Linked DNA regions of Anolis sagrei. The main gene of each other region encodes a partner of the protein of the gene in region 2 in a complex. Links are inferred from orthologs where the notes say so. Each region holds a gene or a part of one and is shown on either strand. Other genes may lie near its edges.

Evidence for each region.
Region 1: the proteins of CALCR (region 2) and RAMP1 are in contact, whole or in part, in a cryo-EM structure (PDB 9AUC), measured with the Homo sapiens proteins. The link is inferred for Anolis sagrei from reciprocal best matches to the Homo sapiens genes CALCR and RAMP1. Residues at the interface, in NP_001158210.1 of Homo sapiens: Arg45, Lys46, Met49, Asp50, Gln52, Tyr53, Tyr56, Asp57, Met59, Gln60, Gln61, Thr75, Trp76, Asp77, Gly78, Asn124, Arg126, Phe235, Leu238, Ile242, Thr246, Val250, Ala251, Gln257, Arg258, Trp261, Tyr262, Leu265, Phe269, Ile276; in NP_005846.1 of Homo sapiens: Trp59, Ile63, Tyr66, Arg67, Ala70, Asp71, Phe83, Trp84, Pro85, Val89, Asp90, Phe93, Leu94, His97, Gly98, Phe101, Ser103, Arg109, Ala110, Val111, Arg112, Asp113, Pro114, Ile118, Leu119, Phe122, Ile123, Pro126, Ile127, Val129.
Region 3: the proteins of CALCR (region 2) and RAMP3 are in contact, whole or in part, in a cryo-EM structure (PDB 8F0K), measured with the Homo sapiens proteins. The link is inferred for Anolis sagrei from reciprocal best matches to the Homo sapiens genes CALCR and RAMP3. Residues at the interface, in NP_001158210.1 of Homo sapiens: Arg45, Lys46, Met49, Asp50, Gln52, Tyr53, Lys54, Tyr56, Asp57, Met59, Gln60, Arg74, Thr75, Trp76, Asp77, Gly78, Asn124, Arg126, Phe235, Leu238, Ile242, Thr246, Gln257, Arg258, Trp261, Tyr262, Leu264, Leu265, Phe269, Ile276; in NP_005847.1 of Homo sapiens: Cys57, Leu59, Ile63, Tyr66, Glu67, Thr70, Tyr83, Trp84, Pro85, Gln90, Ile93, Thr94, His97, Arg98, Phe101, Ser102, Cys104, Val106, His110, Leu111, Glu112, Asp113, Pro114, Val118, Leu119, Leu122, Ile123, Pro126, Val127, Leu129.
Region 4: the proteins of CALCR (region 2) and RAMP2 are in contact, whole or in part, in a cryo-EM structure (PDB 7TYX), measured with the Homo sapiens proteins. The link is inferred for Anolis sagrei from reciprocal best matches to the Homo sapiens genes CALCR and RAMP2. Residues at the interface, in NP_001158210.1 of Homo sapiens: Arg45, Lys46, Met48, Met49, Asp50, Gln52, Tyr53, Lys54, Tyr56, Asp57, Met59, Gln60, Trp76, Gly78, Arg126, Phe235, Leu238, Ile242, Thr246, Val250, Glu255, Lys256, Gln257, Arg258, Trp261, Tyr262, Leu264, Leu265, Phe269, Pro273; in NP_005845.2 of Homo sapiens: Trp86, Tyr93, Ser94, Arg97, Asp98, Glu101, Leu109, Pro112, Glu117, Ile120, Phe121, His124, Phe128, Cys131, Pro136, Phe138, Ser139, Asp140, Pro141, Leu146, Met149, Ile150, Pro153, Ile154, Leu156, Ile157, Leu160, Ile161, Leu163, Val164.

What each region holds. Positions count from the first base shown.
Region 1 is NC_090021.1:175,097,347-175,104,648, reverse strand, and holds the start of RAMP1 (receptor activity-modifying protein 1), read left to right. Parts: upstream 1-4,297; 5' UTR 4,298-4,397; coding exon 4,398-4,449; intron 4,450-7,302. UniProt on the Homo sapiens protein: Accessory protein that interacts with and modulates the function of G-protein coupled receptors including calcitonin gene-related peptide type 1 receptor (CALCRL) and calcitonin receptor (CALCR). Required for the transport of CALCRL to the plasma membrane.
Region 2 is NC_090026.1:101,948,128-101,955,338, reverse strand, and holds the start of CALCR (calcitonin receptor), read right to left. Parts: upstream 3,003-7,211; 5' UTR 2,585-3,002; intron 1-2,584. UniProt on the Homo sapiens protein: G protein-coupled receptor activated by ligand peptides amylin (IAPP), calcitonin (CT/CALCA) and calcitonin gene-related peptide type 1 (CGRP1/CALCA).
Region 3 is NC_090026.1:63,149,187-63,156,076, forward strand, and holds the start of RAMP3 (receptor activity-modifying protein 3), read right to left. Parts: upstream 3,002-6,890; 5' UTR 2,506-3,001; coding exon 2,454-2,505; intron 1-2,453. UniProt on the Homo sapiens protein: Accessory protein that interacts with and modulates the function of G-protein coupled receptors including calcitonin gene-related peptide type 1 receptor (CALCRL), calcitonin receptor (CALCR) and G-protein coupled estrogen receptor 1 (GPER1).
Region 4 is NC_090026.1:50,685,202-50,692,455, reverse strand, and holds the start of RAMP2 (receptor activity-modifying protein 2), read left to right. Parts: upstream 1-4,253; 5' UTR 4,254-4,701; coding exon 4,702-4,750; intron 4,751-7,254. UniProt on the Homo sapiens protein: Accessory protein that interacts with and modulates the function of G-protein coupled receptors including calcitonin gene-related peptide type 1 receptor (CALCRL) and calcitonin receptor (CALCR). Required for the transport of CALCRL to the plasma membrane.

The DNA.
Region 1 (7,302 bases), on a different chromosome or scaffold from region 2:
AGTGAAGGACATACATTGGGTTATTAGGTGTATGCTGTCCAAATTTGGTGTCAATTGGCCCACTGGTTTTTGAGTTCTGTGGATCCCACAAACAAACATTATATTTTTATATATATACTAGCTGTGCCCTGCCACGCGTTGCTGTGGCCTTTAGTAAGAGTTTTGAATTCTCTGCCTGGCCTCTCTTCCTTCCTTCCCTCGCTCTCTTTCCCTCTCTCTCTCTCACACACTCCTTCCTTTCCCCTCTTTCTCTCTTTCCCCCTTTCTCTCTCTCACACTCCTTCCTTTCTCCTCTTTCTCTCTCTCTCTCCCTCTTTCTCTCTCTCTCACTCCTTCCTTTCCCCTCTTTCTCTCTCTTTCCCTCTTTCTCTCTCTCTCACTCCTTCCTTTCCCCTCTTTCTCTCTCTCTTTCCCTCTTTCTCTCTCACACTCCTTCCTTTCCCCTCTTTCTCTCTTTCCCCCTTTCTCTCTCTCACACTCCTTCCTTTCTCCTCTTTCTCTCTCTCTCTCTCTCTTTCTCTCTCTCTCACTCCTTCCTTTCCCCTCTTTCTCTCTCTTTCCCTCTTTCTCTCTCTCTCACTCCTTCCTTTCCCCTCTTTCTCTCTCTCTTTCCCTCTTTCTCTCTCACACTCCTTCCTTTCCCCTCTTTCTCTCTCTTTCCCTCTTTCTCTCTCTCACACTCCTTCCTTTCCCCTCTTTCTCTCTCTCTTTCCCTCTTTCTCTCTCTCACACTCCTTCCTTTCCCCTCTTTCTCTCTCTCTTTCCCTCTTTCTCTCTCTCTCACACTCCTTCCTTTCCCCTCTTTCTCTCTCTCTTTCCCTCTTTCTCTCTCTCTCACACTCCTTCCTTTCCCCTCTTTCCTTCTCTCTTTCTGTCTCTGGCATCCCTCCTTCCTCCCCCTTCTTTATGCTTGGCCATAGGGGTTCAGTGTGGCATGTTTGCCCTAATTCTGTCATTGGTGGGGTTCACGATGCTCTTTGAGTGTTGGTGAACTGTGAATTCCAGTGACTACAACTCCCAAATGTCAAGGTCTATTTTCCCCAAACTTCATCTGTGTTCATATTTGGGCGTATTGAATGCTTATGCTAAGTTTGGTCCGGATCCATCATTGTTTGAGTCCACAGTGCTGTCTGGATGTAGGTGAACTACAACTCCCAAACTCAAGGTCAATGCCCTCCAATCTTTTCCAGTGCTTTCTGTTGGTCATGGGAGTTCTGTGTGCCAAGTTTGGTTCATTTCCATCATTGGTGGAGTCCAGAATGCTCTTTGATTGTAGGTGAACTGTAAATCCCAGGAACTACATCTTGCAAATGACAAAATCATAATTGTTTGAGTGATGGTCACTCCTTCTGTTGTGAGATGTTGTGTTGTGTTGTGGAGCCTTCCCTTCCTCTCCCCCCCCCCCGCCTTTCCCTTCCCTTCCCTTCCCTTCCCTTCCCAGCACTCGCCTCTTTTGCTGTTCTTCCGTCGTCCCTCCCTCTGGCCGGATCGCGATCTAGGCAAGAGAGGCTTCATGCAAGGCTAGGCCCTGCACAGAACCTCCCTCGCCTAGAGGGTAGGGGAGGAAGAAGGAGGGGGAGGAGGTGAGATTGGGGAAGAAGAAGGAGGAGGTAAGAAGGAGAAGGGAGGGGTGGTGAGTTAGCGGCGTGTGTGTTTGTGTGGAAGGCAGGGGGGTTTGTTACGGGCGTTTGGTTGTGTTGCGGAGAAGGGAGGGGGTGTGCGTTAGCGGCGTGTGTGTTTGTGTGTTGCAGGGAAGGCAGGGGGGCTTGTTACCGCCGTTTGGTTGTGTTGCGGGGAAGGGAGGGGGTGTGTGTTAGGGGCGTGTGTGTTTGTGTGTTGCAGGGAAGGGAGGGGTGGTGAGTTAGCGGCGTGTGTGTTTGTGTAGAAGGCAGGGGTGTTTGTTACCGGCGTTTGGTTGTGTTGCGGGGAAGGGAGGAGGTGTGCGTTAGCGGCGTGTGTGTTTTTGTCTTGCGGGGAAGGGAGGTGTGGTGAGTTAGTGGGGGGAGGGGTTGTTACCGGCGTTTGGTTGTGTTGCGGGGAAGGGAGGGGGCGTGTTTTACCAGAGCTGCGTTGGAGGAGGGAAGGAGTGTTTCAGGGCCGGAAGGGGTGGGAGGAAGTTGCGATGCGTGTGTGTGTGTTTGTGGCAGCGACGTGTTCGTGCTGGGCGAGGGAGGGAGGGAAGTGCCGTTCGGCCGTTCGGCCATGTGTGCGCGCGCGCTGGGGTCTTTGCGGCAGTGCGCATGCTCAGTTGTTTTGCCACTTTGTGAGTGTGTTGTTGTGTTGTTTGTAATTGTGAGTGGATTAGTTTGTACCGAGTGGGTTGTCCTAGGGCCATGGCAATTTTGGTGCAGTTTCGTTGGGGGGGTTTAGAGTTTACCTGTCCGGTATAACCAACCTAACAGATTTATATATATAGATTAGCCGTCCTCTGCTAGGCGTTGCTGTGGCCCAGTCTGGTGATCTGGAAAATAAAGTAATGAGAAAGTGTTGGTTTCTAATATATGTAATTTCATATATTAGTATTTCTTGCTGTTTCTTTGTCAGTGTTGATGTGGAGATTGTCTGGTTTGCCCACCCTGGAACATGCAACATATCATTGTCCTTCTTTAGGGGTCCCTTTCAAATCTAGGATACTATCTTTCTCTCTCTCTCTCTCTCTCTGTGTGTGTGTGAGAACCATATCTATCTATCTATATTTATGACTGGATGGCTCTTTGTCAGGAGGGCTCTGATTACATTTTCTTGCCCTGCTGAAGGGAGATGGACTGGATGGCCTTAAGTATTTTCTGTTGGTCATGGGGGTTCTGTGTGGGAAGTTTGCCCCAATCCTGTCGTTGGTGGGGTTCAGAATGCTCTTTGATTGTAGGTGACCTATAAATCCTGGTACCTATAACTCCCAAATGTCAAGGTCTATTTTCCCCAAACTCCATCTGTGTTCATATTTGGGCATATGGGATATTTGTGCCAAGTTTGGTCCAGATCCATCATTGTTTGAGTCCACAGCGCTCTCTGGATGTAGGTGAACTACAACTCCCAAACTCAAGGTTAATGCCCACCAAACCCTTCCAGTGTGTTCTGTTGGTCATGGGCAGGGGCGGCTCAACCATTACGCAAAGTAAGCATTCGCAGTATAGTTGATTTTGCCCAGGGGAGCTCTTGAGGCGCTCTTGGGGGAAAATAGACCTTGACATATGCGAGTTGTAGTTACTGGGATGTATAGTTCACCTACAATCAAAGAGCATTCTGAACTCCACCAATGATGGAATTGAACCAAATAGGGCACACAGAACTCCCATGACAAACAGAAAATATATATCAGTGATTGGCTGGGGGGGCGGGGGGGCGGGGGGCGGAATACTGTTTGCTTACCGTTGAAAATTATCTAGGGCCACCTCTGGTCATGGGAGCCCTGTGTGCTAAGTTTGGTTCAATTCCATCATTGGTGGAGTTCAGAATGCTCCTTGATTGTAGGTGAACTATAAATCCCAGCAACTACAACTCCCAAATGTCAAGGTCTATTTCCCTTAAACTCCATCTGTGTTCATATTTGGGCATATGGAATATTCGTGCCAAGTTTGGTCCAGACCCATCATTGTTTGAGTGCTCTCTGGATATGGGTGAACTACAATTCTCAAAGTCAATGTCCACCAAACCTTTCCAGTTTTTTCTGTTGGTCAGGGGAGTTCTGTGTGCCAAGTTTGGTTCAATTCCATCATTGGTGGAGTTCAGAATGCTCCTTGATTGTAGGTGAACTATAAATCCCAGCAACTACAACTCCCAAATGACAAAAATCATAATTTTTTGAGTGATGGTCACTCCTTGTGTTGTGAGACGTGTTGTTGCCAAATTTGGTGTGATTTCGTTCATTGGTTCTTTTGTTTTTAAGGTACTCATTATGCACAAAGCATTTTTTATATAGATAGATAATATAAAACAATAGTAATGCGTGTGTTTGTGTGTATGTGTGTCTATATATATATACACACACACATGCACACAAACACACGCATTACTATTGTTTTATATTATTATTATCTATTATTATTATTATCTATTTTATTATTATTATCTATATTATTATTTATTTATATTATTATTATTATTATTATTATTATTATTATTATTATTATTATTATTTATCTATTATGATGATTATGAGAGGCAAACGCCGGGGAGAGGACGTCTTCGGATTGGGCGTGCTGCTTGGGCTCGCGGCTCCAGAGCTGACCAATCCGGGCACTCCTTTCCCGCTGCGGCGCTGCACGTGCTCCCGGGAGGGTTCTGCGCCGCGCGCGCCCGGGGACCAAACCAGTCAGAGAGAGAGCGCGAGAGAGAGAGTCAGAGTCACTGCGCTCGCGCTCCCTCTCTTCCCCCGCTGCTTCGGGGCGGGAGGCGCCATGGCTTTGGGGATGCTCGCCCTGCTGAGGCGCTTCTTGTGGCTGAGCCTGGGTAAGTGCTGCTCCCGACCTTGGGTTTCCCTCTGTCTTTGCCTTGGGCTCCCCTTTGAAGGGCGGCGGGGTCGCCAGGTGCTGCTGGTTCAACAGCCAGCTAACTAGCATCACCTGGGACTCCCTCGCCTACACCACTCTTAAAGGGACAGGAGCCTTTTCCAGTGGTGGTTTGGACTGCTCTTTCTTCTCGGTGGGGCCTCAACAGAAGCATGGGATTAGGGGAAAGGCACCTTTCTTCGCCCCTTCTAGGCTTAGGCAAGCTTGCAACTTGCTGGCAAGTGTAGACAATATGTTCAAAGGGGCTTCAAGCATCTGAGAAGTTCCAGTACGATACAAATGTATATTGTATTGATGGATTCTGGTTCCAGGAAAGGAGATTCCACTTGAAGATTAGGAAGAACCTCCTGGCCATAAGAGCTGTTCAACTGTGGAACTCTCTGCCTCAAACTACAAGAAAGGAGATTCCATCTGAACATAAGGAAGAACTTCCTGACTGTGAGAGCTGTTCAGCAGTGGAACTTTCTGCCCCGGAGTGTGGTGGAGGCTCCTTCTTTGGATGTTTTTAAACGGAGGCTAGATGGCCATCTGTCAGGGGTGCTTTGAATGTAATATTCCTGTTTCTTGGCAGAATGGGGTTGGACTGGATGGCCCATGAAGTCTCTTCCAACTCTTTGATTCTAGTAAGGGTAGTAGAGCAGCATTTCTCAACCTGGGGGTCGGGACCCCTGGAGGGGTCGCGAGGGGATGTCAGAGGGGTCGCCAAAGACACAGTATTTTCTCTTAGTCATGGGGGTTCTGTGTGGGAAGTTTGGCCCAATTCTAACCTTGGTGGGGTTCAAAATCCTCTGATTGTAGGAGAACTATAAATCCTAGTACCTACAACTCCCAATGTCAAGGTCTATTTTCCCCAAACTCCAGCAGAGTTCACATTTGGGCATATTGATTGTCATGTCAAATTTGGTCCAGATCCATTATTGCTTGAGTCCACAGTTCCATTATTGCTTGAGTCCACAGCTCTTGGGATGTAGATGAACTACAACTCCAAAACCAAGGCCAATGCCAACCAAACCCTTCCAGTATTTTCATGGGAATTCTGTATGCCAAGTTTGATTCAGTTCCATCATTGGTGGAGTTCAGAATGCTCTTTGATTGTAGGTGAACTATAAATCCCAGCAACTACAACTCCCAAATGACAAAATCAATCACCCACCCAATGCCACCAGTGTTCAGATTTGGGTGTATCTGGTATTTCTGCCAAATTTGGTCCAGTGAATGAAAATGCATCCTGCATATCAGATATTTACATTATGCTTCATAACAGTAGCAAAATTACAGTTGTGAAGTTGTCATGAAAATAATTTTCTGGTTGGGGGTCACCACAACATGAGGAACTCTGTTAAGGGGTCGCAGCATTAGGAAGTTTGAGAACCACTGTAGTAGAGAGGCTCCTTCCTTGGAAGCTTTCAAACAGAGGCTGGGTGGCCACCTGTCCAGGGTGCTTTGATTGTGCGTTTCCTGCGTGGCAGGGGTTGGACTGACTAACTTTACTTAGGCAATTCCTCATTGTCTGAGGATGATGGTCCTCCAAGTGTAGTTTCCTGGTGGTGGATCCGTAGGTGACAGTGGAGCCCTATTGTCCTGCATGTTCTCCTTTTCCAGCATGTTGACATTTGTCCCCTTGTCTTCCCAAGAGAGTTGCAGGATTTTCTGGAGGCAGCACTGGTGGAATCATTCCAGGAGTTGCATGTGACGTCTGTAGACTGTCCAAGTCTCACAGGCGTATAGCAGGGTTGGGAGGACAATAACTTTATAAACAAGCACCTTGGTCTCCCTATGGATGTCCTGGTCCTCAAACACGCTCTGCTTCATTTGGAAAAACGTTGGACTGAATGGCCCATGGGGACTCTTCCAATTCTATGGTACTATCTCAGGCATGGGCAATCTTCGGCCCTCCAGGTGTTTTGAACTCCAACTCCCACAATTCCTAACAGCCAGTAGGCTGTTAGGAATTGTGGGAGTTAGAGTCCAAAACACCTGGAGGGCCAAAGTTTGCCTACACCTAAACTATAGCCTTATTTTGGGTGCCCCCTTCCCCAATGTCTCTTGGTTACCTATATTTTCATACCCAGTCTGCCACTGCAGAGCATGACCCTGTGGTCAGAGAATAAATACCGCACAAGGAATTTATTAATGTAATGATAAGGATGGAGTTTGGTTAGATAATAGTTCCATATGGCATGGTGTCGGAAGTCATGGGTGGTGGTTCACATGTGGTGGGTGGGAGTGGGGAAATAATATGTGTATTTCAATTGTTGAATTTTGAAGATGATATGTTCTTTTTTTTTCTTCATGTACCACAATAAAAAATATACAAGAGAGAGAGGATGATTGCAGTATGACATTGTTTTGACTGCCGTCGTTTAATTTGTATTTTGGAAGGTCTTTAGCTTTCTCTGCGCAAGGGTGCTGGTGCCTCACTAAACTGAAACCCTCATGGTTCCATAGCATTGAGCCACAGCAGTTAAAGTAGAGTCAAGCTGCATTAACTCCACAGTGTAGATGCCCCTATAAATATTAATCAGTGTACCAGTGAATCTGGCAAGTTGGGTTCTTCTAGTAGCAGGTACTATTCCATCCTCTGTTTTTTCTTCTTCACTCAGATCTAAAATACCCTATCTTTGACTACTCAAACATTTGACTATTACGGGAATACAAATATATGCATCAGTTGCATCATTGGGCGGGGTGCAGAAATTAAAATGTAGATATGATCTTATCTCTTGCAAACACTGCTTCCATTTATTTATTTATTTATTTGTTGTATCAGGAGCGAACCAAAACAGTTGTATTG
Region 2 (7,211 bases):
TCGAATACGGGAAGAGGCAGATGAGTTAGCTCCAGCTCCTCATATGGGGACATGAGAGAAGCCTCCCACAAGGATGATAAAAACATCAAAATCATCCGGGCGTCCCCTAGGCAACGTCCTTGCAAATAGCCAATTCTCTCACACCAGAAGCGACTTGCAGTTTCTCAAGTTGCTCCTGACACGACAAAAAGCAAACAAACAAACAAACCATGCTCAATAAAAGTTGAAGTATACAAGCCTTCTCTGCCAAAGAGTGCTGGTGCTTCACTAAACTGCATATCCAGGATTCCATAGCATTGTGTCATGGCAGTTAAAGTGGTGTGAAATTGCATTAACTCTACAGTGCATACACCCCAGATTTGATATAACCAAAAGCAGGAGGATGACTTGCCAGATGTACCTTGTTAAAAAATATTTAGTCAGAAACTGTCTCCTTTATAAAATTGGGGACACCCTTTATCATAAAGGGTGTCCCCAATTTGCAGGCCTGGAAGCTTGTCCCATATGTGCCTTTAAGCTGCCTGTGGTGTCCCTTTATTATAAGAGATGTCTTCTATTTAGTCTTGGAAAGATTTTCCTTTGGGTTGTTGTAGGCTGACTGGCACATACACCTGCTGTATGGCCATGTTCTGGAAGCATTCTCTCCTGACGTTTTGCCTGCATCTGTGGTAGGCATCCTCAGAGGTTGTGAGGTCTGTTGGAAACTAGTAAAATTGGGTTTATATTTCTGTGGAAAGTCCAGGGTGGGAGAAAGAACTCTTGTCTGTTGGAGGCAGGCATGTAGCCGGGGGGGGGGGAGCTCGGGGGGCTTCAGCCCCCCCCCCCCGAAATTTTCATGGTGGTTCGCGAAAAGGCCTTACTGGTGCATTATTTAAACTGTTATGTTTATTCATATCATGATCTGATCACCATACTCAATATATCCCATATGCATGGGGGTATTGGGGTAACGATACAAAAGGTTTGCTAGGCTAGACCATCTTTCACTCAGACTCAGCCCCCCCCCAAAAAAAACTCAGCCCCCCCCCCAAACCCCCCTGAAAAAAAATTCAGCCCCCTCCGAAACGAAATACTGGCTACGGGCCTGGTTGGAGGTAGGTGTGAATTTTCCTTTCATACAAGAAAATTGAAATGAATTGAAAGGAAAATCTTATAGATTGGGAACTTCAACTCCCACAATTCCTAAGTAGCTGAGGGGGGAAAGGAAGGGGCCTGGAGGTTGTTAGGAATTGTGGGAGTTGAAGTCCAAACTACTGGAGGGCCGAAGTTTGCCCATGCCTGATATAGACTGAACAAGTTGCCTATATATATATGAAGAGAGATCATATCTAGGGTTGTAAACCCATCATAGAAATATGTAAAGGTAAAGGTTTTTCTGTGACATTAAGTCCAGTTGTGTCCGACTCTGAGAGTTGGTGCTCATCTCCATTTCTAAGCTGGCGTTGTCCATAGACACCTCCAAGATCATGCGGCCCGCATGACTGCATGGAGTGCCGTTAATGGTAGATTATTTTTTATGGATGTGGACAGCATCCCTAAAATTATATGACAAACTCCCATTTAATCAACAGAATACAAACTTTTTAACAGTCTCCCAACTTGCATGTCATGAATTTTGACTGTCCTCTTATGGCCCTTTTGAAAACCGGTCATAGGTAAATATTACATAGGAATAGGTAAGTATGAAATAGGAAGAATGAACATGGAATGGCTAGAAAATGCTGCTGGATAATTATTCTAACAGGATGACACCGGTGATTATGTTTTTAATTGGTATATATATGGTTTTTTATAATGTTGGGTTGAATGTTTTAACTGTATTTTATGAATGTATAGCATCAAATTTGCTCAATTCTGTGAGCTGCCCTGAGTTGCCCTAAGGCTGAGAAAGGCAGGCTACAAATGCTGTAAATAAATAAATAAATAAATAAATAAAGGAATTATTGCTAATGTGGAATATATAGTCCTCTTAGATTTTTAAAGGGAGATGTGTGTACCGGAAGACTTCTTTTATTATCAGGTAGACCTTGGGAAAGTCACTCTCTCAGCCTCAGAGGAAGTCAATGTCAAACCCTAACAAAGCTTGCCAAGAAAAACCCTGCAACAGGGGATGCATTTACACTGTCGAATAAGTTAAGTTTGACACCACTTTCAGTACCATGGCTATGCGTCTCAGAGAAGAAAGATCCACTTAAAATTCGGTTTCTGCCTCCTGCAGAATTCTGGGATTTGTAGTTTAGGGAGGAGCCTTTAACAGCCTCACTAAACTACAAACCCCAGAATTCTGCAGGAGGCAGAAACCAGATTTTAAGTGGATTTTTTCCCCTCTAGTGTGATGTATGGAAGCATACGATTTGTAGTTTAGTGAGGCACCAGCACTCTTGGGATGAGGAGACTAAAGACTTGCAAAACTACAATTCCTTCGCCATGGCACTTAAAGAAGTCTACGCCGCAGATGCGCCCCAAAAATCCAACTCAGAAGGTGCCAGCTTGGTCCCCTTCCTCCCTCCTTGCAGCAGCTTCCAAAATGTTCCTTTCCACTTCCAAAAAAAGAAAGGAAATCTTAAAACTTGTCCTTCCTTACCTGGATCAGTCCTGGCGGGGTCGATTTGCACCGGATCCTCTGGTCTCAGGATCCCTCCAATGTCAAATAAACCGAGGTGTATTGGAGCCCTTAAATCCCACCCCAAAAAGAGACTGAGTAAGGGGGAAAACCCTACTAATCTGGGCAGAGAAGGGGCTTGGCAAGAGGGCAGGAGGCGAAGCTGAAGCCCCCTTTGAGCCAGAAAACCAGCTTGGAGGATGGATGGGAGAGACGGAGCCGCCTTCTTTCTCCTGCCCCAGCAAACAACCAAAAGAGACGTCCACTCGATCGCGCTGTTGCTGCTACTGAAGGAGAAGGAGAAGAAGAAGGACCCAAGTCAGAAAAGAGGCTGGTCGGCTCCTGGAGTCCGGTTTTAAAGGAGCCGCACGCTCTGCTTCCACCAGAGGAAAGCCAGCGCAAGAGGAGGGGCGGGTCGGAGGAGGAGGAGAAGGAGACGGGCGTCTATCTACACCAGTGTCACTCAACATGGGGGTCGGGACCTCTGAAGGGGGGGCGTGGCGTGAGGGAGGGGTCACCAAAGGCCATCAGAAAACAAATATTTGCAGAATTGGGTTGTTGTAGGTTTTTCCGGGTTATATGGCCATGTTCTAGAGGCATTTTCTCCTGACGTTTCGCCTGCATCTATGGCAAGCATCCTCAGAGGTAGTGAGATCTGTGGGAAGTAGGAAAATGGGTTTATATACCTGTGGAATGACCAGGGTGGGGCAAAGGACTCTTGTCTGCTGGAGCACCTGATGAACCAACCTGGACACATAGCAGAGCATCTGATGAACCAACCTGGACACAGCATATTATTTGAGAACACAGAAATGCTGGACCACTCTCACAACCATCATGTCAGACTACACAGAGAAGCCATTGAAATCCACAAGCATGTGGACAATTTCAACAGAAAGGAGGAAACCATGAAAATGAACAAAATCTGGCTACCAGTATTAAAAAAAACTCTAAAATTACAACAGCAAAACAACAGAGAGTAAACAATCAGACACATCTAATCACCTCTCAACAAAAGATTCCCCCAGGCACTGCCAAGCCATCAAATGCTAATTAAGGTGGTCAGTTGAAACATTCACACCTAGTTCCAGCAGAGAGTAGTAGGTTTGAAAAAGATCTTGGAGTCCTCATGGGCAACAAGTTAAACATGAGCCAACAATGTGATGTGTCAGCAAAAAAAAAAAAGCCAATGGGGTTTTGGCCTGCATCAATAGGAGTATAGTGTCTTGATCCAGGGAAGTCATGTCCAATTCTGGGCACCACAATTGAAGAGAGATATTGACAAACTTGAATATGTCCAGAGGAGTGCAACTAAAATGATCAAGGGTCTGGAGAACAAGCCCTATGAGGAGCGGCTTAAAGAGCTGGGCATGTTTAGCCTGAAGAAGAGAAGGATGAGAGGAGATATGATAAATATGTGAGAGGAAGTCACAGGGAGGAGAGAGCACGCTTGTTTTCGGCTTCCTTGGAGACTAGGATGCGGAACAATGGCTGCAAACTACAAGAAAGGAGATTCCATCTGAACATTAGGAAGAACTTCCTGATTGTGAGAGCCATTCAGCAATGGAACTCTCTGCCCCGGAGTGTGGTGGAGGCTCCCTCTATGGAGGTCTTTAAACAGAGGCTGGATGGTCATCTGTCAGGGGGTGCTTTGAATGCAATTTTCCTGCTTCTTGGCAGGGGGTTGGACTGGATGGCCCTTGAGGTCTCTTCCAACTCTATGATTCTATGATAGTCTTAGGAACTTCTTTGGTAGAGAAGGCTGAAGATTTCTCCAAATGTCCTTTTCTTCCTTTTTGGAAATGGACAGCAAATCCTCACCAAAAGACCATCTTCTGCTCTCTGGATGTAGGTGAACTAACACTCTAAAACTCAAGGTCAATGCCCACCAAACCCTTCCAGTATTTTCTGTTGGTCATGGGAGTGCTGTGTGCCAAGACAGGTTCAATTCCATCATTGGTGGAGTTCAGAATGCTCTTTGATTGTAGGTTAACTATAAATCCCCGCAACTAAAACTCCCAAATATCTAGGTCTATTTTCCCCAAACTCCACCAGTATTCACATTTAGACATATTGAATCTTCATGCCAAGTGTAGTCCAGATCCATCATTGTTTGAGTCCACAGTGCTCTCTGGATGTAGGTGAACTACAGCTCCAAAACTCAAGTTCAATGCCTACCAAACCCTGCCAGGATTTTCTCTTGGTCATGGGCGTCCTGTGTGCCAAGTTTGGTTCAATTTAATCGTTGGTGGAGTTCAGAATGCTCTTTGATTGTAGGTGAACTATAAAGCCCAGCAACTACAACTCCAAAATGACAAAATCTATCCCCCTGAATCCCACCTGTATTAACATTTGGGTGAATCGGATATTTGTGCCAAGTTTGATCCAGTGAATGAAAATACATCCTGCATATCAAATATTTAGATTATGATTCATAACAGCAGGAAAATTACGGTTATGAAATAGCAACAAAAATAATTTCATGGTTGGATCACTGCCACCATGAGGAACTGTGTTAAGGGGTCGTGGCATTAGGAAGGTTGAGAAACATTCATCTATACCTAGAATCAAAGCAGTCTGACACACCTTTAACTGCCCTGCTCAGTGCTATGGAATCCTGGAAGTTGTAGTTTGGTGAAGCATCAACCCTCTGCAGCAGAGAAGGCTAAAGACCTTGTACAACTAGGGCCTCTTCTACACTGACACATTATCCAGATTATTTTTTTTGTCGTGTCAGGAGCAACCTGAGAAACTGCAAGTTGCTTCTGGTGTGAGAGAATTTGCCATCTGCAAGGACTTTGCCCAGGGGACGCCCGGATTATTTGATGTTTTATCATCCTTGTGGGAGGCTTCTCTCATATTCCCGCATGAAGAGTTGGAGCTGATAGAGGGAGCTCATCCGCCTCTCCCCGGATTCGAACCTGCGACCTGTCAGTCTTCAGTCCTGCCGGCACAGGGCTTTAACCCACTGTGCCACCGGGGGCTCCATTATCCAGATTATCAAAGCAGATAATCCACTTAATCTGCTTTAAACTGGATCATATGAGGCCCTTTCCACACAACTGAATAAAACCCCACATTTTCTGCTTTGAACTGTGATATATGGCAGTATGGACTCAGATAACCCAGGTCAGAGCAGATATTGTGGGATTTTCTACCTTGATATTCTGGGTTATATGCTGTGTGGAAGGGCCCTCTGTGTACACTGCCATATAATTCAGTTCAAAACAGATACTCTGGATTTTATATGGCAGTATATATATGGGCCCTGAGGCTAGATCTACACTTCTCTAGAATTCCAGGATCTGATCCCAGATTATCTGGCAGTGTAGACTCATATAATTGAGTTCAAAGCAGATAAACTGGGATCAGATCCTGGGATATATGGCAGTGTAGATCCAGCTTTGGGCCCCATCTCCCCCACCATAAAAGTCCAGATTCACTGCTTTAAACTTGATTATATTAGTCTACACTGCCATATAATTCAGTTCACATAATCCGGATTTTATATGGCAATGTAGATGGGGTCTTTGTCTACACTGCCATATAATCCGGTTCAAAGCAGATAATCCAGATTTTATATGGCAATTTGATAATCTGGATTATATGGCAGTGTAGAAGGGACCTGAGTCTACACTGCTATATAATCCAGTTCAAAGCAGATGATCTGGATTTTATATGACAGTGTGGAAGGGATCTTAATGAAGAGGTAGAACATCATAACAGAAAGGTATTTCTCTCTCCCATTTTTAAAAAAATAAGATGTGTTAGTTTCATGCATATTCATATTCACTGTATTTGTTACTACAGAAAGAAATGAGCTGTTCCACTGAAAATGTTATTGAGAGATATTCAACAAAAATTACTATATTAATCACTGTGTAATTCAAAAATGTTTCCCTTATTAGTGGATTCTGTTATATCACTGCTACACAATTATGCATTGGACTGAAGGAAGGAAATATGTATTTGGGTTCTAAATATGGGTAGCATTTCCTTTGGTATCTTTTTCTGAATGTCTCCAAATCAGTCAGTGTTTTCCAGCTGTGCTACAGACAGTGAAGGCTCTGGTCCCTGTTCATTCTGTGTGTGAATGCTGTCAAAAATCCCTTTCATTGAAGATTGGAGAGTGATATTCTTCAGCAGACTCGAATACAGAAGCTAGAATTTGAGCTGAAGCATATGCGTGCAATTAATAAATGATTATACATGACAAACACCATTTCTCTGGAGCTTTTTTGCCAACAGCCTTTTGAAACTGGGAAGCGACTTTGGCAAGCCTGGTCCATAAATTAAAACATTCTTACATGGATCTGTTAACAAGCTAGGAATATAACTCTAGCCTCTGGTTTACATGGTATATTTCTACACATATTGACATGAAATCTGGAAAGAAGCCAAAACTATGGCCAAAAGGATGTATCCCCAGGAAAGCCTATACAATATTCCATTAGTCTTCAGTGTATTTAGTCTGAAGGACATCCAGTTTGAGGTCAATGAGTTTTATTCCCAAATAGATGCATGTAGGTTTGCAGTCTTAGGCCCCTTCTACACTGCCATATAAAATCCAGATTATCTGCTTTGAACTGGATTATATGACAGTGCAGTA
Region 3 (6,890 bases), about 39 Mb from region 2:
TGGGATCGTGAGCAGGGCCTCTCCGGATGAACGAAGAGAGCGTGTGGGTTCATACACGGAGATGCGGTCACGCAGGTAGGCAGGTCTCAAACCGTGCACCTTGAATTGGGACCAGAAAATTAATGGCAGCCAATGGAGCTCCTTGAACAGGAGGGTTGACCTCTCTCTATAAGGAGCACCAGTTAACATCCTGGCTGCCGCCCGTTGGACTAACTGAAATTTCCGAGCCGTTTTCAAGGACAGCCCCAAGTAGAGCGCATTACAGTAGTCCAATCTAGAGGTGACCAAGGCATGGACCACCCCGGCCAGATCAGCCTTTACGAGGTACGGTCGCAGTTGGCGCACGAGTCTCAATTGTGCAAAAGCCCTCCCGGCCACCACCGACGCCTGAGCCTCAAGCGTAAGTGATGAATCCAAGAGGACTCCCAAACTGCGGACCTGCGACTTCAGGGGGAGTGTAACCCCGTCCAGCACAGGTTGCCACCCTATACGCCAATCCGGTTTTCGATCGACCAGGAGGACCTCTGTCTTGTCGGGATTGATCTTCAGCTTGTTCCTCCTCATCCGGACAGCCACAGCGGCCAGGCACTCGTCCAGCACTCGAGGGGCTTCCTTGGAGTTGGGTGGAAATGAGTAATAGATTTTGATTAGTTGTAGATGGGTTGGGATGTGGTGTATTCGAAGGATGTTGAGGTTTCATAAATGTTTTATTCTTTTTTGCATACCAAATGGTGTTCTTTGCGATAGGCCGAATTTGCACATATCTGCCGTGACTTGAGCCACATCGGAGACGCGGTGGTCATCCTCTGTGCGAAGGACGGCGTCAAGTTCTCTGCCACCGGGGAACTTGGGAGCGGGAACATCAAGCTCTCCCAGACCAGTGATGTTGACAAAGAGGACGAAGCCATGTCAATAGAGATGAACGAGGCTGTGCAGCATACCTTTGCTCTGTGCTACCTGAACTTCTTCACCAAGGCCACCCCGCTCTCGCCCACCGTCACCCTCAGCATGTCTGCTGATGTCCCCCTCGTTGTGGAATACAAGATCGCAGACATGGGACACTTGAAATACTACTTGGCTCCAAAGATTGAGGATCAAGAAGAGTCTTAATCAAGAAAGAGAGGGTTTTTGGGAGGAAAAACAGAGTGGTTTGGTGAAAGAATCATAGAATCATAGAATCAAAGAGTCGGAAGAGACCTCATGGGCCATCCAGTCCAACCCCCTGCCAAGAAGCAGGAATATTGCATCCAAATCACCCCTGACAGATGGCCATCCAGCCTCTGTTTAAAAGCTTCCAAAGAAGGAGCCTCCACCACACTCCGGGGCAGAGAGTTCCACTGCTGAACGGCTCTCACAGTCAGGAAGTTCTTCCTCATGTTCAGATGGAATCTCCTTTCTTGTAGTTTGAAGCCATTGCTTTGTGTCCTAGTCTCCAGGGAAGCAGAAAACAAGCTTGCTCCCTCCTCCCTGTGGCTTCCTCTCACATATTTATACATGGCTATCATATCCCCTCTCAGCCTTCTCTTCTTCAGGCTAAACATGCCCAGCTCCTTTAGCCGCTCCTCATAGGGCTTGTTCTCCAGACCTTTTATCATTTTAGTCGCTCTCTGGACACATTCCAGCTTGTCAAAGGAAAGGTCTCCCTGCATTTAGGGCCATTTGTAGATATTTCTCTGTAAATACATTCGTTTCTGCAAATAATAGTCTCTTCTCTTCCCCCCCCCCCCCTTTTCACTTTTAGGCCCTGTTTGTTCTTGATTACTGAAACATTGACTCCCTTAAAGGGAAAGTACAGTATTTAAAAAGATGGGGTGCCCCCCCCCCCTTATTTTTTTGCCAGGAGACTCATAATAATGTTTGGAGAAACCTACTTTTTTACGTAGAAACCTTTCCAAAAAACCTAATGCTTGTTTTAAAAAAAAAAGAGGAGGGCGACTAAAATGATCAAGGGTCTGGAGAACAAGCCCTATGAGGAGCGGCTTAAGGAGCTGGGCACGTTTAGCCTGAAGAAGAGAAGGCTGAGAGGAAATATGATAGCCATGTATAAATATGTGAGAGGAAGCCACAGGGAGGAGGGAGAAAGCTTGTTTTCTGCTTCCTTGGAAACTAGGATGCAGAACAATGGCTTCAAACTACAAGAGAGGAGATTCCATCTGAACATGGTGAGAGCCGTTCAGCAGTGGAACTCTCTGCCCCGGAGTGTGGTGGAGGCTCCTTCTTTGGAAGCTTTTAAGCAGAGGCTGGATGGCCATCTGTCAGGGGTGATTTGAATGCAATATTCCTGCTTCTTGACAGGGGGTTGGACTGGATGGCCCATGAGGTCTCTTCCAACTCTTGGATTCTATGATTCTTGGTGTTCTTTGCTGTAGGACACGCCTGTGCCTTGGGCAACTTCTGAAGAGAACTTGACAAAAGAGGACAGCCTGTCAGTGAAGAGAAGAGGAAGCACTTACCACACAGGATTGAGAGGAAAAGGCGCGCTGGCCACAAAACACAGGTCTCCATCCTGCAGGATTCGCCACGGCCACCGCCTTGAAGGAGCAGCAGAAGAAGAAGGAGAAGCAAGGGCAGCGCTGGAGACCCCTTCCACACAGCTGTATAAAATCCACATTGAACTAGATTATATGGCAGTGTAGATACCTCAGTTCAAAGCAGACATTGTGGATTATCTGCCTTGATATTCTATTTTATAAGGCTGTGTCATTCCACAGCCTCTGAGGGAAGAAGTTCGCCTTGAAGGGCGGGGAGGGGTCGCCTTCACACAAGGCCGCCCCTCCTCCTCTTCCCTCCTTTCTCCTCCTCTTACTGGCAACACTTTGCCATTTATTTCCTTCCTTCCTCCTCTCCTCCCCGCCCTCGCTTCCTTGAGAAAAAGGAGAGGGGGGTAGGATAATGTTATTATGGCCCTTCCTTCCGTCATCCTCTTTCAAGGCCGAGGAGGGGGCCAAAAAGGGACCATTGCAGCCCGGCTTCTCTTCTCTGCCCTCTTTGTCTCCCTGAGGTGGGATTCTTCCCGCTCATTTGATTCCTAAATTATCCCCCACACCCTCAGGCAGCAATTTATCATCATTTACTAGCTTGTGTACTCTGCAGTGTCCAGGTTAGGTCATTTCTAATGCTATTTATTAGGAAAAAGCCAGTCTTTGCTTTTGTGTGTGTGTGTGTGTGTTTATGAATGCTCCGATAAGAAAGTTCATAAAAATATGGGTGAACTATAACTCCCAACATGATGGTCAATGGGTTATTTTTTATTTTTTTTATTTACTTTACTTATATACCGCTCTTCTCAGCCCTCAGGCGACTCAAAGCGGTTGACAACATCAGTGCAAAACATCACAAGACAAGTATAAAGCCATTAAAAACAGATTATAGCATCAACAAAGAAACATTAGTATATTATTATTATAACTTTATTTGTACCCCGCTAGCATCTCCCGAAGGACTCGATGCGGCTTACACAGGCCAAGGCCTCAAAACACAATACAACAATACAATACCTAAAGCAAAATTAAAACAGTTAAGCAGAATAAACAAGACATCAAGACACTATAAAACTGGGCCGGGCCAGAGTAATAGGTACAAGATTAAAAGTGCTGATGTGGCAGGAGGTATGTAGGATTATAAGTAAGTGCAGTGTGAGGTGTGCAGTAATCTTAGTTCTACTAAAGTACTTCTAGGACTTGGTATTGGAGGTTCCTAATCTGGGAAGGCACATCGGAACAGCCAGGTCTTCAAGTTCTTTCTGAAGACTGCCAATGTAGGGGCCTGTCTAAGATCTCTTGGGAGGGCGTTCCAGAGTCGGGGGGCCACCACAGAAAAGGCCCTGTCTCGAGTCCCCACCAAGCGTGCTTGCGACGCAGGTGGGATCACGAGCAGGGCCTCTCCAGATGACCGAAGTGAATGCAGGGTTCGTAGATGGAGATGCGGTCACGCAGGTAGGGTGGTCCCAAACTGTTCAGGCACGCATGTGATGTAGGCGGGACCGAGAGCAGGGCCTCCCCAGATGATCTTAGTGTCCTAGTCGGTTCATAGGAGGAGATGGGTTCGGAGAGGTAAGTAGGGCCAGAACCGTTTAGGGCTTTATAGGCTAAAGCCAGCACTTTGAATTGTGCCCAGTAGCAAACTGGCAGCCAGTGGAGCTGGCACAACAGAGGAGTTGTATGCTCCCTGAGTGCCGCTCCTGTTAGCAACCTGGCTGCCGAATGCTGGACCATTTGAAGCTTCCGAGCAGTCTTCAAAGGCAACCCCACGTAGAGAGCGTTGCAGTAGTCTATACGGGATGTAACCAGAGTGTGGACTACCGTGACCAAGTCAGACTTCCCAAGGTACGGGCGCAGCTGGCGCACAAGTTTTAACTGTGCAAATTCTCCCCTGGTCACCGCCAAAACCTATTTATTGTGTCAGCGGCAACCAGACAATTGTATTACATTTCTAACAGAACAAAACAAACAAACAGATAAAACACAAAGTTTGCAAGCTTGGTAGTTGATTAAATGTCCTTTGACCAGTATCTGGCCACTTGGAGTGCCTCTGGTGTTGCTGCAAGAAGGTCCTCCATTGAGCATGTGGCGGGGCTCAGGTTGCATTGCAGCAGGTGGTCAGTGGTTTGCTCTTCTCCGCACTCGCATGTCGTGGATTCCACTTTGTAGCCCCATTTCTGAAGGTTGGCTCTGCATCTCATGGCGCCAGAGCGCAGTCTGTTCAACGCCTTCCAAGTCACCCAGTCTTCTGTGTGTCCAGGGGGGAGTCTCTCATTTGGTATCAGCCATTGGTTGAGGTTCTGGGTTTGAGCCTGCCACACTTGCTGAGGTGTTCCAGCGAATGTCTCTGTAGATCTTAGAAAACTATGTCTTGATTTAAGTCATTGACGTGCTGGCTGATACCCAAACAAGGGATGGGCTGGAGATGTCTCTGCCTTGGTCCTTTCAATATTGGCTGCTACTTCCCGGCAGATGTCAGGTGGTGCAATACCGGCTAGACAGTGTAATTTTTCCAGTGGTGTAGGGCGCAGACACCCCGTGATTATGTGGCATGTCTCATTAAGAGCCACATCTACTGTGGTGAGATGTGTTCCACACTGGGCATGCATACTCAGCAGCAGAGTAGCATAGCGCAAGGGCAGATGTCTTCACTGTGTCTGGTTGTGATCCTCAGGTTGTGCCAGTCAGCTTTCATATGATATTGTTTCTAGCACCCACTTTTTGCTTGATATTCAAGCAGTGCTTCTTGTAGGTCAGAGCACGGTCCAGGGTGACTCCCAAGTATTTGGGTGTGCTGCAATGCTCCAGTGGAATTTCTTCAATGGGTTGGAGGACAGGAAAAGAGGTTTAAAAATGGGCTCAAAGCCAACCTTTAAAACTCTGGCATAGACACAAAGAATTGGGAAGCCCTAGCCCTTGAGTGCTCCAGTTGGAGGTTAGCTGTGACCAGCAGTGTTGTAGAATTTGAAGAGGCATGAAAGGAGGGCGAGAGGAAACGTGCCAAGCGGAAGGCACATCAAGCCAACCCCGACCGGAACCACCTCCCACCTGGAAACTGATGCCCTCACTGCAGGAGAACATGCAGGTCAAGAATGGGGCTCCATAGTCACCTACCTACCCACCACCAGTACAACGAACCTGGAAGATAATCTTACTCGATCAACAAGGGATCGCCTAAGTAAGTAAGGAAAGTACGGTCAATTAGTCTCCTTGGGGAGATAGGGCGGTTTATAAGTAAAGTACTATTATTATTATTATTATTATTATTATTATTATTATGGAATCCCACTGGAGCATTGCAGCGCACCCAAATACCTGGGAGTCACTCTGGACCGTGCTCTGACCTACAAGAAGCATTGTCTGAATATCAAGCAAAAGGTGGGTGCTAGAAACAATATCATACGAAAGCGGACTGGCACAACCTGGGAATCACAACCAGACACAGTGAAGACATCTGCCCTTGCGCTATGCTACTCTGCTGCTGAGTATGCATGCCCAGTGTGGAACACATCTCACCACGCTAAAACAGTGGATGTGTATAGGTGGTGGTGAAATACTAACAGGTTACACAGAAAAAGCAAAATTACTCAAGACCTTCTTTGTCTCAGTCTTCTCCGAAAGAATAAACAGTGCTCAGCTTGAGGATGATGGAGCAATGGATGCAGTAGGGGAAATGCAGCACAGACTAGATAAACAGGCAATACAGGAATATCTGGCTAATCTAAATGAATTCAATTCTCCAGAGCCAGATGAACTATCCAAGGCTATTGAAAGAACTGGCAGAAGTAATTTCAGAACCACTGGCAATTATCTTTGAGAATTTTTGTTTTGGGGGAAAATAGGGGGCAGGGAGCTGGATGGATGCCCTCTCGGGTCAACCTCTGGAACGGCATGTAGCCACCACCAAACTAGGGGGAAGAATTTGAATATTTGAATATTCCAATTCTTCCCAGGATTTGGCCCTGTCTGGAAGGGCCTCCAGAGGCAGATAACAGTAGAAGCAGGTGATGGTGATCCTTTGGGAGGTTTCTCTCAAGTCCCTGCATGAGAAGCTGAAGCTGACAGATGGGAGCTCCCCCTGCTCACCTGATTCAAACTGCCCGATACCACAAAGAAGGCAAGCATTAGTTTCTAATGTAATCACTAAACTATATACCTTTGAGGCACAACTGGTGGGTATGAGAGACAGGGCCCTCTCAGTGATGGCTCCTTGGCTGTGGAACCCTCTCCCTAGTGGAATTAGATTGGTTACTTCCCTCCTGTCATTTCTCAAACAAGTGAAAACTTGGCTTTGGGAACAAGCATTTGGCCCAGCATAATTATCTGTGCAATATAGTTGGAATTGGCTTTGGACTGATAAATATAATTATCTGATTATCTGGCTTTGGATCTATGTACAATAGTTGTCTA
Region 4 (7,254 bases), about 51 Mb from region 2:
GCATCGTGAGTTGGGATTGGCATGAGCTGCTGAATTGACCCATCTGATTGATTAATTAATTAATTAATTAAGACTGCAGCCAGGAAATCAGGAGACACTTACTTCTTGGTAGGAGAGCAATGACCAATCTTGATAAAATAGTGAAGAGTAGAGACATCACACTGGCAACAAAGATCCGCATAGTTAAAGCAATGGTATTCCACATAGTCATCGACGGATGAGAGAGCTGGACCATAAGGAAGACTGAGTGAAGGAAGAGAGATGCTTTTGAACTGTGGTTTTGGAGGAAAGTGCTGAAAGTGCTTTGGACAGCGAGAAGATCCAACCAGTCCATACTTCAAGAAATAAAGTGCTCATTGGAGTGAAGAATAGTAGAGACCAAGATGAAGTACTTTGGCCAAATCATGAGAAGAAAGGAAAGCTTAGAGAAGACAAGGATGCTGGGGAAAATGGGAGGAAAAAGGAAGAGGGGTCGACCAAGGGCAAGATGGATGGATGGTATCTTTGAAGTGACTGGATTGACCTTGAAGGAGCTGGGGGTGGTGATGACCAACAGGGAGCTCTGGCGTGGGCTGGTCCGTGAAGTCACGAAGAGTCGGAAACGACTGAACAAATTAACAACAATTCTCTAGCTGTTCCTTCAATGCATACCCCTATAGAATATTTCCCCCCGCCGCTAGAAGGTTTAACTGTATGATCCGTTATATGAGCCTCTCCCTTACAGATGTTATGCTCCACTTTTATCTCACCCTGAGTTTTTTTTAACATTTTATCTTCTACACGTGGCCCATTGTGATTCTGTCTGTGAATGATTTATTTTATTTCTACTTTTATTTTTGGTGCATTATTTTATATTGTTTAGTGTATCCTTATGATTTATTTACTTTATCGTGTTGCTGTTTTGTGTTTATTTTATTGAAATGCATTTTTGGGCCCAGCCTCATGTAAGCCACCCGAAGTCTCCATTGGAGAGATGGTGGTGGGGTATAAATAAAGATGATGATGATGATGATGATGATGATTATTATTATTATCTGTATATATAATAAAGAAGAGTGTTTGTTTGTATGGGAAGGACAGAGGAAGTGTGGAGGGTGGAAGTGTATGTGGCAGCTTTCCGATTGGCTGCCACTGTGGTGCTATTTGCATATGGTCTCTGATTGGGCAGCTTCAATAGGAGCCCCTGGTGGAGAAGAGGGTTCATGGCAGAAACGGGGCATGACAGAAGGAAATTTGCATATGGTCTCTGATTGGCCAGCCTCAAATGCAAGATTCCGAGATGAGAGAGGAAAGGAAAGGCCGGGGGCTGGGTCAGAACACTACCAATACAGACCAAAATAGGCACATAGAGCCCCCATCACCCACTCCACATCCTACTGCAGTTTGGAGGAGTATGAACCATGGATGATGGGACTTGCAGTACCACCACTCGCATTCTGAGACCGCTGCTAACCTTATCCAATGACTGATCAGGACCAAACTTCGCACATAGACCTCTCATGACCCTCTTTACGTCCTGGTGTGGTTTGGCCGGGGATGGACCGTGGATTATGGGACTTGCAGTACCATTGCTCAATTCTTCAGACCACTGCAACCATCATCCAATTACCAATAAATACCAAACTTGGCACACTGAGTCTCCATGATGCACTCTACATCCAGGTGCAGTTTGAAGGAGGATGCACCATGGACGATGGGACTTGCAATACCTGCACTCCCTTCCTAAGACCATTACAACTACCAACGATGATGGATCAGGACCACAATTTACACAGAGACCCAGCATGACCCACTCTACATCCTGGTGCGGTTTGGAAGAATTTGACAATGGATGATGGGACTTGCAGTCACTTCACTCACTTCCTGAGACCACTGAGACCCTCGCCGATGACTAATCAAGACTAAACTTGGCACATGGAGCTCCAATGACCCACTCTACATCCTGGTGTGGTTTGGAGGAGGACAGATCATGGATGATGGGACTTCAAGTACCTCCACTCTCCAAGTCTGCTGCAAAACTCATCTAATGACCAATCAAGACCAAAGTTGGCACACAGAGCCCCCATGACCCACTCTACAGCCTGCTGCAGTTTTGGAGGAGGGTTGACCATGGATGATGGAACTTCCAGTACCTTCACTCACATTCTGAGACCTCTGCAAACCTCATCCAATGACGGATCAAGACCAAACTTGGCACATAGACCTCTCATGACCCACTTTACGTCCTGGTGTTGTTTGGAAAAAATTGGAGATGGATGATGGGACTTGCAGTACCTTTGCTCACTTCCTGAGACCCTCGCCAATGACTAATCAAGACTAAACTTGGCACATGGAGCTCCAATGACCCACTCTACATCCTGGTGCAGTTTGGAGGAGGACAGACCATGGATGATGGGATTCAAGTACCTCCACTCCCTTCCGAAGATTGCTACAACTCTCTTCTAATGACCGATCAAGACCAAACTTGGCACACAGAGCCCCCATGACCCACTCTATATCCTGCTGCTGTTTGTAGGAGGATGGCCCATGGATGATGGGACTTCAAGTACCTTCACTCACTTCCTGAAAATAATGCAGCCGTTATCGAAAGACCAATAAAGACCAAACTTGGCATAAAGAACCACCATTACCCACTTTCTCTAATAACCCGGGCAACGCCGGGTCCCCAAGCTAGTTATTAATGTTTATGAAGCAAGGAGGGATGGGGGACTGTCATTAGCTGACGGGGCTCTGGGAAATAGATCTAGAGGACTACAAATAAGGACCTTATCACGTTTGCTGCTGAATTCACCATGGATTGTGGTGAATCCATCAGGGTCTATTGGGGAGCATGGGGAACTCCATGTCTTGCATTGCCTAGCTTCCTCCTTACCCCATCCCATGGGGGGAAATGTCCGCCATCCGGCTTCACCCTATTGTTATCAATGCAACATAGGAAGCCACCTGTGTTGTTGCGGCAGTGGCATATAATGCTTCCTTTTCACTATTACTATGGAGCCCCGCTGGAAGTAGTTTGATATCGTGAGTTGGGACTGGCATAAGCTGCTGAATTTGGCCCACCTGATTAATTAATTAATTAATTAATTTACTACACTTTTATCCTGCCCTTTTCAGCCCAAAGGCGATTCAGGGCGGCATACAGACTGGCAACAATTAGATGCCAAACACACATAAATACATTGTTTAAAACAGGTTTGTTCTGTCGCACGCTGGGCCTGTGCATAAGACTGTAGACAGGACATAAATTCTGTGTGCCCAACGGGACGCCAGGGCTGCCTCAGATTAAAGGCCTTTGGATTTCCTTAAACAGAGTCTTTAGATTGCTTAAAGGTTCAACCTAGTTCTTTATTAATGAAAACAAACAGGTACTTTAAGGCTTTCTTAACAGTCTATTGGCTCTCTCTCAATCTTGTCCACTGGGAACAGGCACTATCTTCATAAACTGTACTTTAGCTAATAGGGAAATCCTTAACTTCTAATCTGGGCAGTCTTTGCCTCTGATGGCGTGGAGCCCCTACACCCGGTACCAACTGCTTCTGGCTTCCGCGAGTGACCCTTACCAAGCAGAGCTTTGTAGACTTCCAGGGGAAAAAAAGAAGGAATTCAGGCTTCGGTGATGGCTGACTAAAGTCCCTCAGTGATGGAGCTGTAAGACTGTATAATCCTCGGCCAAGCTATGGGACCTTTCTCCCCGGCCAAGCTGTAGAAGACAGGAGCTCTTGGTATTATGTCCTGCATGAAAAGCTTCTCTGTGTGGACTGAACCCAAACTGGCTCCTATTCCCTCCAAAACCCAAAAAGGGGGCGGGACCAGGGAACCTAACTATAATTGACAGGTGGCTTGCCCTATGATTGCAGCAAATTGGGAGCCAGTGGAGTTGGCGCAACAGCGGAGTTGTATGCTCCTTGAGCGATGCTCTTGTTGGTAGCCTGGCTGCTGCCTGCTGAACCATTTGAAGCTTCCAGACAGTTTTCAAAGGCAACCCCACAAAGTAGTCTGATGAGGTTGTAAGATCTACTCTATCAAGGCCTAGCAACGAGTATGCATCTTCTCTCCAGATCGTCATTCAACTTCGAAGCACTTTTTGCCTAGCATGTGGGCACTTTCTCTTTTAACTCTTATTCAGGCACTAGTCAGATGAGCTACGCAGATGTCAGTGGTGCCCCAGGGCTGTCTGTCCCATGTCTGATTTGTCAAAAGATGTGGTAGCAGGCGGAGTGTATGTGCCTGCAATGTCTGCTTCTACAGGCTTGGCGTTTGCCTCTCTTCCTTTTGCCCAGACTGCTTCTTTGGAGTTCTCTCTCCCTTTCCCCCCTCTCTTTCACTCAGTCTTGGATTTCACAACCGGGCAGACAGAACTGAAGAGGACATTACCCAAGCAAAAGGCACCCTGGGCCTTGTAAAGTGGATGTGCCGTGAAGAACAGAGGGCTCTGGCTGCCTGGCAGGGTGACCTGAGGTGGCCGCCCCAGGGTTACAGAGGTCCTGGTGACTCTGGAAGGGTGTGGGGAGCCAGGGAGGAGACTTGAGCCTCGCTGGGAGCAGGGCTTGCTCCCGAATCTCATTTTTCACATGTCTGCTGCACTCTCGCTACCAGCTCTGTCAGAGGAAAGGAGGCGCTTCCTGTTATTCCAATCCAAATCTCAAGCTGAACACAGGAGGGAGCAGGCAGCTGTAGAGCAGAGTGGCAGGGTGAGCAAAGATGGAAGGCCAGTGCCTGCCTTTGCAACTGCTTCTACTGGTCTTTACAGGTACGTACTTTGGGGCATAGACAGCATAGACTCACAGCATAGACAGCTGTGAGTAGCTTTGCTTCTCTAATGGGGGAGATTGGAGCTTATCCTTACCGATTGTCTGCAGTAGGCAAGGGGGTGGCAACTCTACAGGTCAGCTCAATTTGTGAGCCTGGCGCTCAACTCTTTCATTGACCCCATTTATTATTATCTGTTCTTGTCATCTCGCGGGCACCATCTTAACAATCTGTGCATGTGAATCACACACTTCTTTTGCTCAGTTCTGTATCACATCCCTCACTTTCACACTTCACACTAGCTGCAACGTTTGTTCCTTCTGTGTTCTTCGCTAACTATTACATTCTCGACCCTTCCCCTAATCTGGTTTGTCTGGTATTTTTCCATCTCGAGGGTGACTTCTTTGCCAACATCAAGTGAATTTTCCTCTACAGTCCATTCCGACACCAATTTTGGGGATGATTTCCTAAACCTAGGATAGGAATGCTTTATTTTGTATTATGAAATGCTTTATTTTTCAGGTTCAGTGCAATGGATGAAAAGAGCACTCTTGTGGCAATCTCTTATTTCTGACTAGCCGTCCCCTGCCATGCATTGCTGTGGTCCACTTTGGTGGTCATGGGGGTTCTGTGTGGGAGGTTTGGCCCAATTCTGTCGTTGGTGGGGTTCAGAATGCTCTGTGATTGTAGGTGAACTACAAATCCCAGCAACTACAACTCCCAAATGTCAAGATTCTATTTTCCCCAAACTCCACCAGTGTTCACATTTGGGCATATTGAGTATGTGCGTAGAGTTTGATCCAGGTCCATCCTTGTTTGAGTCCACAGTGCTCTCTGGATGTAGTTGAACTACAAGTCCAAAACCAAAGGACACTGCCCACCAAACCCTTCCAGTATTTTCTGTTGGTCATGAGAGAACTGTGTGTCAAGTTTGGTTCAGTTCCATTGTTGGTGGGGTTCAGAATGCTCTTTGACTGTAGGTGAACTATAAATCCCAGCAACTACAACTCCCAAATGACAAAATCAATTTTTTGAGTGAAGGACATACATTGGGTTGTTAGGTGTCATGTGTCCAAATTTGGTGTCAATTCGTCCAGTGGTTTTTGAGTTCTGTTAATCTCACAAATGAACATTACATTTTTATTTATATAGATGGGTTTTTAATAAGTAAATTTGGCAGAGAGTGGGGAACAAGTCTTAGAACCCTAGAGCTGCAAGAGTCCCAAAGTTCCTGTTTCCCACCAGAGCCATTTCCCTTTTGCCCCTGCCCCCATTTCACTCAATCTGAAACATGGCATTACCTAGTAGAGGGCAGGTGCATTTGTCACTGGGGTTGTAAAGCAAATATATTCAGAACTAGCTGTACCCGTCACGCATTGCTGTGGCCAACCTTCCATCCCTCTTTCTCTTCTTTCTTTCTCTCCTTCCCTCCCTCCCTTCCTCCCTCCCTCCCTCCCTCCCTCCCTCCCTTCCTTCCTTCTTTCCTTCCTTCTCTTCTTCTTCCCTTCCTCCTCCCCACCTTTTCTTTCCCTTCCTCTTTCTCCCCTTTCTTCCTTCTCTACCTATTCTTGGATAGCAACTCCCAGCAGTCCTCCTGATCTATCTATCTATCTATCTATCTATCTACCTACCTACCTACCTACCTACCTACCTATCTCTATCTAATCTATCTATCTCAGCGTTTCTCAGCCTGGGGGTCAGGACCCCTGAGGGGGTCATGAGAGGGTGTCAGAGGGATCACCAAAGACCATCAGAAAACACATATTTCTGATGGTCTTAGGAACACAGTGCTCTCCGGAGGTAGGTGAACTACATCTCCCCTAAATCACTGTCAATTCCTCCCAAATCCCTGCAGTATTTTCTGTTGGTTATGGGGGTTCTATGTGGGAAGTTTGGCCCAATTCTATCATTGGTGGGGTTCAAGGGGGACTTTGAGTGTAGGTGAACTATTAATCCCAGCAACTACAGTTCCCAAATGTCAAGACCTCTTTTTCCCAAACTCCACTAGTGTTCACATGTGAGCATATTGAGTATCTGTGCCAGGTTTAGTCCAGATCCATCATTGTTTGAGTCCACAGTTCTCTCTGGATGTAGGTGAACTACAACTCCAAAACTCAAGGTCAATGCCCACCAAAACCTTCCAGTGTTTTCTGTTGGTCATGGGAGTTCTGTGTACCAAGTTTGGTTCAATTCCCTCATTGGTGGAGTTCGGAATGCTCTTTGATTGTAGGTGTACTATAAATCCCAGCAACTACAACTCCCAAATGACAAAATCAATTATCCCCCCCCCCCCCCAACTCCACCAGTATTCAAATTTGGGCATATCACATATTTATATCAAATACATCCTGCATATGAGATATTTCTATGATGATTCATAACAGTAGCAAAATGACAGTTGTGAAGTAGCAACAAAAATAATTTTATGGTCGGGGGCCACCACAACATGAAGAACTGTATTAAGGGTCACAGCATTAGGAAGGTTGAGAAACACTGATCAATCTG